2 linked regions of the Schizosaccharomyces pombe genome follow. The protein of the gene in region 1 binds, or shares a complex with, the protein of each later gene. Each region holds a gene or a part of one and is shown on either strand. Other genes may lie near its edges. The genes, in order: ssl1 and rad15.

Region 1 (4,218 bases):
AAACAATCCAATTGTCAAACAAAACTCAACATTAACACAACCATCGTTACGAAAAAAAAATACAATGGCTGCACCTGCTAGATTAAGAAAGCGTTCGGAAAATGTGCGACTTACACAAGCTAGATATGCGATATTTCATATCTTCCTTCCTTTCATTCTTACTTTATTGCTTTATCATAATTTTTATAATTATTTCGATCAGGCATTGGCGGATCTTAATTCTGTGGTTAAATATGTTATTGAAACTATAGTGTTAATATTTACATACGTGATGACAGTGATTATTGTTTATTGTAAGTTTTTGAGATGATTTGAATTCATGACTAACGATTTTCTAGTTTCATTTTCGTTAATTAAATTAGCGTTTGAAGAAGCTTATGTTTATGCACCGTCTGTAGCTAAAGCGAATGAAGGTCTAGCTAAAGCGATTGCAGGCCTAGCTAAATATGTAGCTAAAGCAATTCAAGGTTTGGCTCATATTATTTTATCCTTACTGTTGTTTATTCTCGGGCTCGAAGTAATAGAACAAGATGAAGAGACTGGCGACGTTGAAATGTCGTCTATGCGAGGCCAAGCAATTACCACAGAGCCAGCAAGTGACAATACAATGGCTGAGGAAACCGATTGCAACACTTCTAAAGATGTAGAATCGGGCAGCAACTAAAAGTCATGGCTAGAGAAAAAAATCAAGGGGCTGCCAACAGTTGCGAGGGTTTTTTTTATTTCATCACTAATTTTCTTACTTTCTTGCAAAAGTCACTTTTCTCCTTTATTTCTATTCCTTGTATTATTATCTTATATGCATCATCACTTAATCATTTTCGATGACAGTCATCACTATTTTTGTCTCTGTTATAGAGCAAACACGATGTGTATTTGTGGTGCTAGGAAAATTCATTTAACTAATGAATCTGTTGTCAATTATAGATTAATCATCCTCTTTATTGTTTTACCAAATTGATATACAATCCTTAATTGTGACTTTGTAAGATTTGCGACTTAAAAAATTGTTCAATTAAGACATTACTCAAAAGATGCAAAGTAGTGATTTAACCTTTTTTTTTGTTGGATATATACGAAATAAGGATTCCATTCATCATTCTCAAGTTTTGGAGTTTTAAAAACCAGTATATACAGCAAATATAAGTTGAAATTTGTTTCTAAGACAAATAAAAACGAAAAAATCGACCTTGGAGTAGAACGAGAACTTCTTAAACAATGCGATTTCGCAATTCCTAGTCAGTAGCCAATTTCTGTTCGAGAAAATCAATTAAATGAACTCTTTCGTCCTGCAAACCATCCAACATTCAGCCTAAGCGAAAAGTAATTATTCTTCTTATGTCCATATCACTTGTAGCTTTACATAAAATATTGGCAATTACGCAGTTTGCAAATTTCTAAGTCTCTACTATATTGCAATATGCAGTTTGTACAAATAACCGAGCCATAAATAATTTTATAAAATACGATATATAACTCATCCTTAAAGAATGAGGAGTACAGATTTATTTTATATTCTTCTTTTACTTTCATAATTTCCTAAGTTTTTTCAAATAACAGAAATAGTTGTATACAAATTTCATATCACAAATCAAAGACTGATAAACACGAATTAACGCAGCATAACGAAATTCATTATTATATTTAACAAATAATGGTTGCGCTCCTTGTCCGTATTGTCTTCGTGTAAATGGTCTCTTGTTCTAGTACTTACTTAGTCTTACCATTTTACTGGTATGCCCAGGAGTCATTGCTTTTTAAAAAAATAAAACTAAAAATAATAAAAGAAAGAACTTTCGCTCATTGCATGTAAAGCAACTCGACGCGACTATTCAAATTACCAAAAGTTCACTGGGTAAAACGTGACTTGAAGAAATACATTCGCTTTGAGTTCTTTAGTCTGTAGAAACCAAGGAATAGAATTTGTGCAATATTCATTTATCTAATTATCAAATAGCGTTCTGGCATAATACCTATGCTCGGTTAAAATAACACTCAATGAATGAGAACCAAAAAAGTTTTGACTCTGACAAGTCGGAAAGCGAGGATGAACAAAAAAATGGAAGAGTTAAAGTAAGAAGCAGGAAAACTGACGATAATGAGGGTTATACTTGGGAAGGTGAATATCAGCGTTCTTGGGATATCGTACAGGAGGACGCAGAGGGTAGTTTAGTAGGCGTTATCGCTGGGCTTATTCAAAGCGGGAAACGTAAAAGGTATGGCGTATCAAAATTGGTTTTCTTATGTTCTTCATTTGTTTGTTAGTTGCCTATGTTGGGCATTTGGAAACATATTAGTCTTTTATAGCATCGATGAACGGTATACTAACTTGTCAATCTGATTTAGACTTCTTAGAGATACAACTCCGTTACAACGAGGTATTATTAGACACATGGTCTTGGTGTTAGATTTGAGCAACTCTATGGAGGAGCGTGATTTTCATCATAAGCGGTTCGACCTTCAGATAAAGTATGCTTCTGAATTTGTTCTTGAGTTTTTTGAACAAAATCCTATTTCCCAATTATCGATTATAGGCGTAATGGATGGAATCGCTCATCGGATAACTGATTTGCATGGGAATCCTCAATCGCATATTCAGAAGCTTAAATCTCTTCGAGATTGTAGTGGAAACTTCTCTCTTCAAAATGCTCTCGAAATGGCTAGAGCTTCTTTATCACACATTGCTTCCCATGGCACTAGAGAAGTCCTTATCATTTTTGGTTCCATCTTATCATCAGACCCTGGCGACATTTTCAAGACGATTGATGCTCTGGTTCATGATTCTATTCGTGTCCGTATCGTTGGTTTGGCTGCTGAAGTCGCCATTTGTAAAGAAATTTGTAATAAAACTAACTCATCTACGAAAAATGCCTACGGCGTAGTCATCAGTGAACAACATTTTCGCGAACTTCTACTCGAAAGCACAATACCTCCTGCTACTGATTCGGCTAAAACCACTGATGCTTCTTTGGTAATGATGGGATTTCCTTCTAAGGTCGTTGAGCAATTGCCAAGTCTTTGTGCTTGCCATTCAATTCCGTCTCGTGGTGGGTTTCATTGTCCTCGTTGTAAAGCAAAAGTTTGTACTTTACCGATCGAATGCCCTAGTTGTTCTCTCGTTCTAATCCTTTCAACACATCTTGCTCGATCTTATCATCATTTGTTTCCATTGAAAAACTGGAGCGAAATTCCTTGGTCCGCAAATCCAAAGTCCACTCATTGCTTTGCGTGTCAGTTACCTTTTCCGAAGCCGCCGGTTTCACCGTTTGACGAATCTACTTCATCGATGCGGTATGCATGTCCCTCGTGTAAAAATCATTTTTGTTTGGATTGCGATGTTTTTGCGCATGAACAACTTCATGAGTGTTATGGATGCCAATGCTCCGGAAATTAAAGTTTCTTTTGGTATATTAATGAACGCATTTATTTATAATAATTATTTTAAAATACTATTATGCTACTTATTCACAAATATGTAAAGAGATATATATTTCAATTTACTTATTTAAAGAGATCGTTGCTTAACTACCTTATCCGGAAGATAGTGAAAATTTGATCTATTGATGCTTCAGTAAGTGTTAGAGCTGTATCATATATAAAATAAAAACTAATTAAAATGTGGAAATGAATATATCCCTATATTTACAGATCAGAGGTCAGTATTGCAGTTGTAGTTGATTACAGAGGAAACCTGTTTTTGAGAATTCCATTTCTCGACTAAATAAGCAACCTTCTGACCGTACTTGCTTCCCCGAAGAGAAACCATGTGCTTTTTTATATGCGTAATGACAAGGTTTTTCTCAGCTGGTTGACCAAGTTGAATTATTTGCTGAATTAAATAGTTGCCATACTGATCAGATGCAATATCGATTAAAGGCTGCCTTGTTCGGTCAACTCTCGCGTTTGTAATTTGTTTTAGATATAAGGAAATGAAATTTTTTGGGCCAGACTTAATTGCTTTTTCAATGACCTTAGAGGCAAATTGGTCAATACTAAATTCCACTGCACGATTCAATAATGCATCAATGACTCTTTTCAAATCCTCTCCTTGTCCGTTTTCTACCATGTGTTGCACCACCCAGTTTCCCCATTGACCACGTGCAATACCGTCTAAATGAAAAATGATTTCCTCAATGCATTCACGCTTATCTTTCTCTACACAGTTCTCAAACATATTTTGGACTACGAGACTTCCATTTTCCCCGACTGCAACTTCGT
Region 2 (5,630 bases), on another chromosome or scaffold:
TTGCATGTTACGGGATGTAAGGAAATAATCTCAAACCAGTCATCCTTACTTTGGTTTCCTACATTTAATGAGCCATGCCATCTATCCTCTATTTCAATACCTTCCTTCCCATTTTTTTCTGCTAAATCGATATGTTGTTTTTTAAATACTCTTTGTTATTAGTACTATATATGCACTATTGATTTTGCTAGCAATGTATTGTATTATTTGTATGTTTTGTAGAAAATAACCTACTCGCCAACCCAAAAATACCAGTTGTTTCCGACAGCGTCATTTATTCATCACACTTTTCCGAAAATCGGCTTTACAAGTCCCGAGTAAAAGTGAATCAAGAAACAGCTACCATGAATTTGATCAACGATTTTGAGTAACCACAGAAAAACTCAGTATGGCCCATTACGGTTGGAATGGGTCGTTGTTATGAATGCCATTTTCTTGTTACCGAGCGGCAAACTCCAACAGTATATTGTTTTGTAGCATCGCTAATGAATGATTCGTTAAGTTTGTTTTCGTGGAATTTCATGCTCTTCTTTTATACCCGAAAGCCGGATACTCGTCGATATACTAGATGTGTAGTGAGTTAATTAATTAGCCAGAAATTAGTGAATGGGAGAGATTTTTAAAATATCAAGATTGATCATTACTAATCATCTTTCATCTTTCACAATACTTGTCATCGATGATTGATAGAGATTGCCAAGAGACATTAGGTAAAATAAAACGTAACAGTTTTGACGATCTGCTGATTTGCTTGATGTCAACCTTGGGTATGTTTTCATTAAACATGATTGCTGATGGGTTTCATAATTCGTGAAAAATTGATAAAGCACTTTTCCTTATCATCTACACATAAGTGAACAGGCAAATCAATCCGTATTGTCTCCTCAACATACGGAATGTCATTAAAACCGGTAAACTGTACTAACCGGTGATTACGGGATAATAAAAAACCACTTCATTCATTTCAAAAACTGTTGATATAGTATTCTGTATGATTTCAAGAAGATAACTCTTCGGTGACTTGCTGTTTATTGCTCACCTGGCGATTCTAATTCCTTTTATTTTTTATCCTGATACGTATGTATTTGTTTTTCCCTCTTTAGAATAATATTCATTAAGCTTGAATAAGCGGTTATTAGTTTGCAAATGATTCAGCAGCTATATGTGAGTTTGCCCTTTTTCACTTGTCTACAGAGTCGGGAATTGACTTGTAAAACAAAATAAATGGAATATTGCAAATGTATTCTTTTTGCCTTGTGTTTATTTAGGAGTAGTATTGCGGAAACTTGTTTTCAGAAAACAAAGTAGCGCTTATGCTCGGTAACTACGAAAATACGAATTTTTTTTCCAATAAACTAGTATTTATTAAGCAATTGCATCTTCCATTAACCATGTCATTTCCATCAATGTATAGTTGTATGTACACCATGTATTTACGAATATTATCCAATTTAACGTACTTTACAGTATTTTGCTTATAAATGTTTACCGTACCAACTCAGCGTTCTTCATAATCCAGTTCTATATGCACTACAAATATAAAGCAGCCACTGTTAATTTCAGGACTCATTCTTTAAGCTTGGATCGACAAGTAGTTTCTCCTGAGATTCTCACTGTAAAGTAGCTCACTTAAACCTTAGGTCAGAATTATTTCTTGGTTCGTTTTGTTTTACCCTCTTCCATCCCATGTTTATTTATTTATCTTTGTGAACTTATTCATATTTGTGTATCAGTGATTGACGACTAAATATTGAACCAAAGCAGAACCTACCTCATTCTTATAATACCCATAAAAATTTATTTCTCGCTTTATTCATTTCATTTTTATGAAGCGATTGTTAAGCGATCTTTACCCACTATTATTCATCAATGCTAGTTCATAATTCTTTTGTTTCAACTTTTTATCTTATTATTTAATTCCTAAATTTTTTTTTGGTCCAATAGGCTGTCATATACTCAAATTAATTTCCTCAAAGTCAACGGATTACACCCATAATGAAGTTCTATATTGACGATCTACCTATTCTGTTTCCTTATCCACGCATCTATCCCGAGCAGTATCAGTATATGTGTGATTTGAAACATTCTTTGGATGCGGGAGGCATTGCGCTCTTAGAAATGCCTTCGGGTACTGGAAAGACCATTTCTCTTTTGTCCCTTATTGTTTCATATCAACAACATTATCCTGAGCATCGCAAGCTCATCTATTGTTCACGTACCATGTCGGAAATTGATAAAGCATTAGCTGAATTGAAGCGTTTAATGGCGTATCGGACTTCACAGTTAGGATATGAAGAACCATTTTTGGGTCTCGGACTAACCAGTCGCAAAAATTTATGTTTACACCCTTCTGTTCGTCGTGAAAAAAATGGGAATGTGGTAGATGCCCGTTGTCGCTCACTTACGGCGGGTTTTGTGCGGGAGCAAAGATTGGCTGGTATGGATGTTCCTACTTGTGAGTTCCACGACAATTTGGAAGATCTTGAGCCACACAGCCTTATATCTAACGGTGTTTGGACCCTTGATGATATCACAGAATACGGCGAAAAAACTACACGATGCCCCTATTTTACTGTACGTCGTATGCTACCGTTTTGTAATGTTATTATTTATTCGTATCATTATTTACTAGACCCCAAAATTGCTGAACGAGTTTCTCGAGAACTCAGTAAAGATTGCATTGTTGTTTTTGATGAAGCACACAATATTGACAATGTGTGTATTGAGTCTTTAAGTATTGATTTGACAGAATCTTCTTTGAGAAAAGCTTCGAAGAGCATTTTGTCTCTTGAGCAAAAAGTCAACGAAGTAAAACAGTCTGACTCAAAAAAACTTCAGGATGAATACCAAAAGCTTGTTCGGGGCCTTCAAGATGCTAATGCCGCAAATGACGAAGACCAGTTTATGGCGAATCCCGTTTTGCCTGAGGATGTTTTAAAGGAAGCTGTTCCTGGAAATATTCGACGAGCCGAACATTTTATTGCATTTTTGAAGCGTTTTGTAGAATATTTAAAAACAAGGATGAAAGTTTTGCACGTTATTGCTGAAACACCAACTTCTTTTTTGCAACATGTTAAAGACATTACATTTATAGACAAAAAGCCGCTTCGGTTTTGCGCTGAGCGACTCACTAGTCTTGTTCGTGCCTTACAAATTTCACTAGTTGAAGATTTTCATTCTTTGCAGCAAGTAGTAGCTTTTGCGACCCTTGTTGCTACTTATGAGCGTGGATTTATCCTAATTTTGGAACCCTTTGAAACAGAAAATGCTACAGTTCCCAATCCAATATTGCGGTTTTCCTGTCTTGACGCCTCAATAGCTATTAAACCAGTTTTCGAAAGATTTAGGTCTGTGATTATCACGAGTGGTACTTTATCCCCCCTCGATATGTACCCCAAGATGTTGCAGTTTAATACTGTTATGCAGGAATCGTATGGAATGTCACTTGCACGAAACTGTTTCCTTCCTATGGTAGTTACTCGGGGTAGCGATCAAGTAGCTATTTCTTCAAAATTTGAAGCCCGTAATGATCCTAGTGTTGTTCGCAATTACGGTAATATACTGGTTGAGTTTTCGAAAATTACACCTGATGGCTTAGTCGCATTTTTTCCAAGTTATCTCTACCTTGAAAGTATTGTTTCTAGTTGGCAAAGTATGGGTATTCTAGATGAAGTCTGGAAGTATAAGTTGATTTTGGTGGAAACACCAGATCCTCATGAAACAACTCTCGCCTTAGAGACTTACCGGGCTGCTTGCAGCAATGGCCGTGGAGCAGTATTGCTGTCAGTCGCTAGAGGAAAAGTCTCAGAAGGAGTGGATTTTGATCATCATTATGGTAGAGCAGTAATCATGTTTGGTATTCCGTATCAGTATACTGAGAGTCGTGTTTTAAAAGCACGGTTAGAATTTCTGAGGGATACGTATCAAATTCGGGAAGCAGATTTCTTAACATTTGATGCCATGCGGCATGCTGCCCAATGTTTAGGTCGCGTTTTGCGTGGAAAAGATGATCATGGAATTATGGTGTTAGCAGATAAACGATATGGTCGGTCTGATAAGCGTACAAAATTACCTAAATGGATTCAACAGTATATAACCGAAGGCGCTACAAATTTAAGCACTGATATGTCCCTCGCTTTGGCGAAAAAATTTTTACGAACTATGGCACAGCCTTTCACTGCGTCTGATCAGGAAGGGATTTCTTGGTGGAGTCTTGATGATTTGTTGATTCATCAGAAGAAAGCATTGAAGTCTGCGGCTATAGAACAATCCAAACATGAGGATGAGATGGATATTGATGTGGTTGAAACTTAATAGAAGCCATTTGTAAAATACTTTGATTCTAATCATCTTTACTAAGGCAATCCAAAACTCATGAACACAGCGATGAAGATATTTGGAAGCGAATGGCTAACTTTTTTGTAGGTGTGGACAATGTATGTATCAACTTGTATTCGAGAGTTGTATAGTGGACATTTCAATCGTCATCACGATACGCATGCTACTTACGAATTGTTTTAAGATCGCAGAGCAGAGAAAAAATATTATTTACACTCAGTTGGCAATTAATTTGCGAGTCGCTAAATTCGAAGTACTTTAAAATTTTTTTAGAGACTGTGTTCAAATAAAATCGGTTTCAGTTGTTGTAATGCTTCTTAAATTTTCCATCCCATCAATAACAATCCAGCGTTTCAAAGAGTGATTATTGGCAATTTCATGCTGCTATGGAAATTAAGCTTACATTAAGCGAGCTAGTTAAAATACGTGATGCAGTAATTGTAAGCCTAGTTATATAAACAAAACATCTGTTTATCATTTAGATACATAAAACAAAAGTTTACATATTCATAATATATTCTCATAATCTAAAAAATTTCCTTGATAGTTTTATGTCGATAAAATTAGTCTCCCATACTTAGTTCTAAATAAATGAACGTTTTGGGGTTGTACAACTGATTCATTGCTGTATTCTATGTAATATATAAATTTCTTGAAAATAAAAAATCTTTTGGTTTTACGGATTCACGGTTGGCTTATACGTAATTGCCAAGCACATATAAGATCAATGATGGTTTCTTTACCAAACTACTGTATAAAAAAATTACTCTAGCACAAAAAGGATACCGCTTTCAGGAATTCTTAAATATAGAAAAAAAAATAAGTGTAGCTTATTGCAAGGGTTGTCTCTAGTCACGTTGGGGTAGTCAGAATCCTGTCATAACTACTGCTTTGTATCTTTGATTAGCAAAGTAACTTATTGAATACAGTCAGCTGTCAAATTACAGAAAAAGAAGCAACTTTAATAGTATCTTAAATGATATAATCTTCGATACAGGTTTCTTTGAGAATTTGGCCAATAGCTAGAAATGTTTAAACGACGTCGAAATCCAAAAGGTCTTGTGTTGAATCCTAACGCCTCTGTTAAAAGCTCTGATAATGATCATAAGGAAGAGTTAATTAACAATCAAAAAAGCTTTGAATCCAATGTCGAAGCATTTATGGAGCAATGTGCGCATATGAATCGACGCCCAGCTTGGATATCTGATTTGGACAATAGCAGTTTGGAAGTAGTGAGGCATTTGGGAGAGGGAAATGGTGGGGCTGTTTCATTGGTAAAGCATAGAAATATT

Evidence for each region.
Region 2: ssl1 (region 1) and rad15 share a complex: the UniProt entries of both Schizosaccharomyces pombe proteins name them as parts of the 7-subunit TFIIH core complex.

Annotation. Positions count from the first base shown.
Region 1 is NC_003421.2:382,475-386,692, forward strand, and holds ssl1 (transcription factor TFIIH complex subunit Ssl1), read left to right. Parts: upstream 1-1,716; 5' UTR 1,717-1,998; coding exon 1,999-2,216; exon of another isoform or gene 2,217-2,346; coding exon 2,347-3,394; 3' UTR 3,395-3,573; downstream 3,574-4,218. Other genes in the region: SPOM_SPCC1682.06 (uncharacterized protein), read left to right, coding at 1-293, 339-664; meiotic pumilio family RNA-binding protein Mpf2, read right to left, coding at 3,650-4,218. UniProt on the Schizosaccharomyces pombe protein: Component of the general transcription and DNA repair factor IIH (TFIIH) core complex, which is involved in general and transcription-coupled nucleotide excision repair (NER) of damaged DNA and, when complexed to TFIIK, in RNA transcription by RNA polymerase II.
Region 2 is NC_003424.3:662,787-668,416, forward strand, and holds rad15 (transcription factor TFIIH complex subunit Rad15 ), read left to right. Parts: upstream 1-1,561; 5' UTR 1,562-1,995; coding exon 1,996-4,314; 3' UTR 4,315-4,861; downstream 4,862-5,630. Other genes in the region: MAP kinase kinase Byr1, read left to right, coding at 5,367-5,630. UniProt on the Schizosaccharomyces pombe protein: ATP-dependent 5'-3' DNA helicase, component of the general transcription and DNA repair factor IIH (TFIIH) core complex, which is involved in general and transcription-coupled nucleotide excision repair (NER) of damaged DNA and, when complexed to TFIIK, in RNA transcription by RNA polymerase II.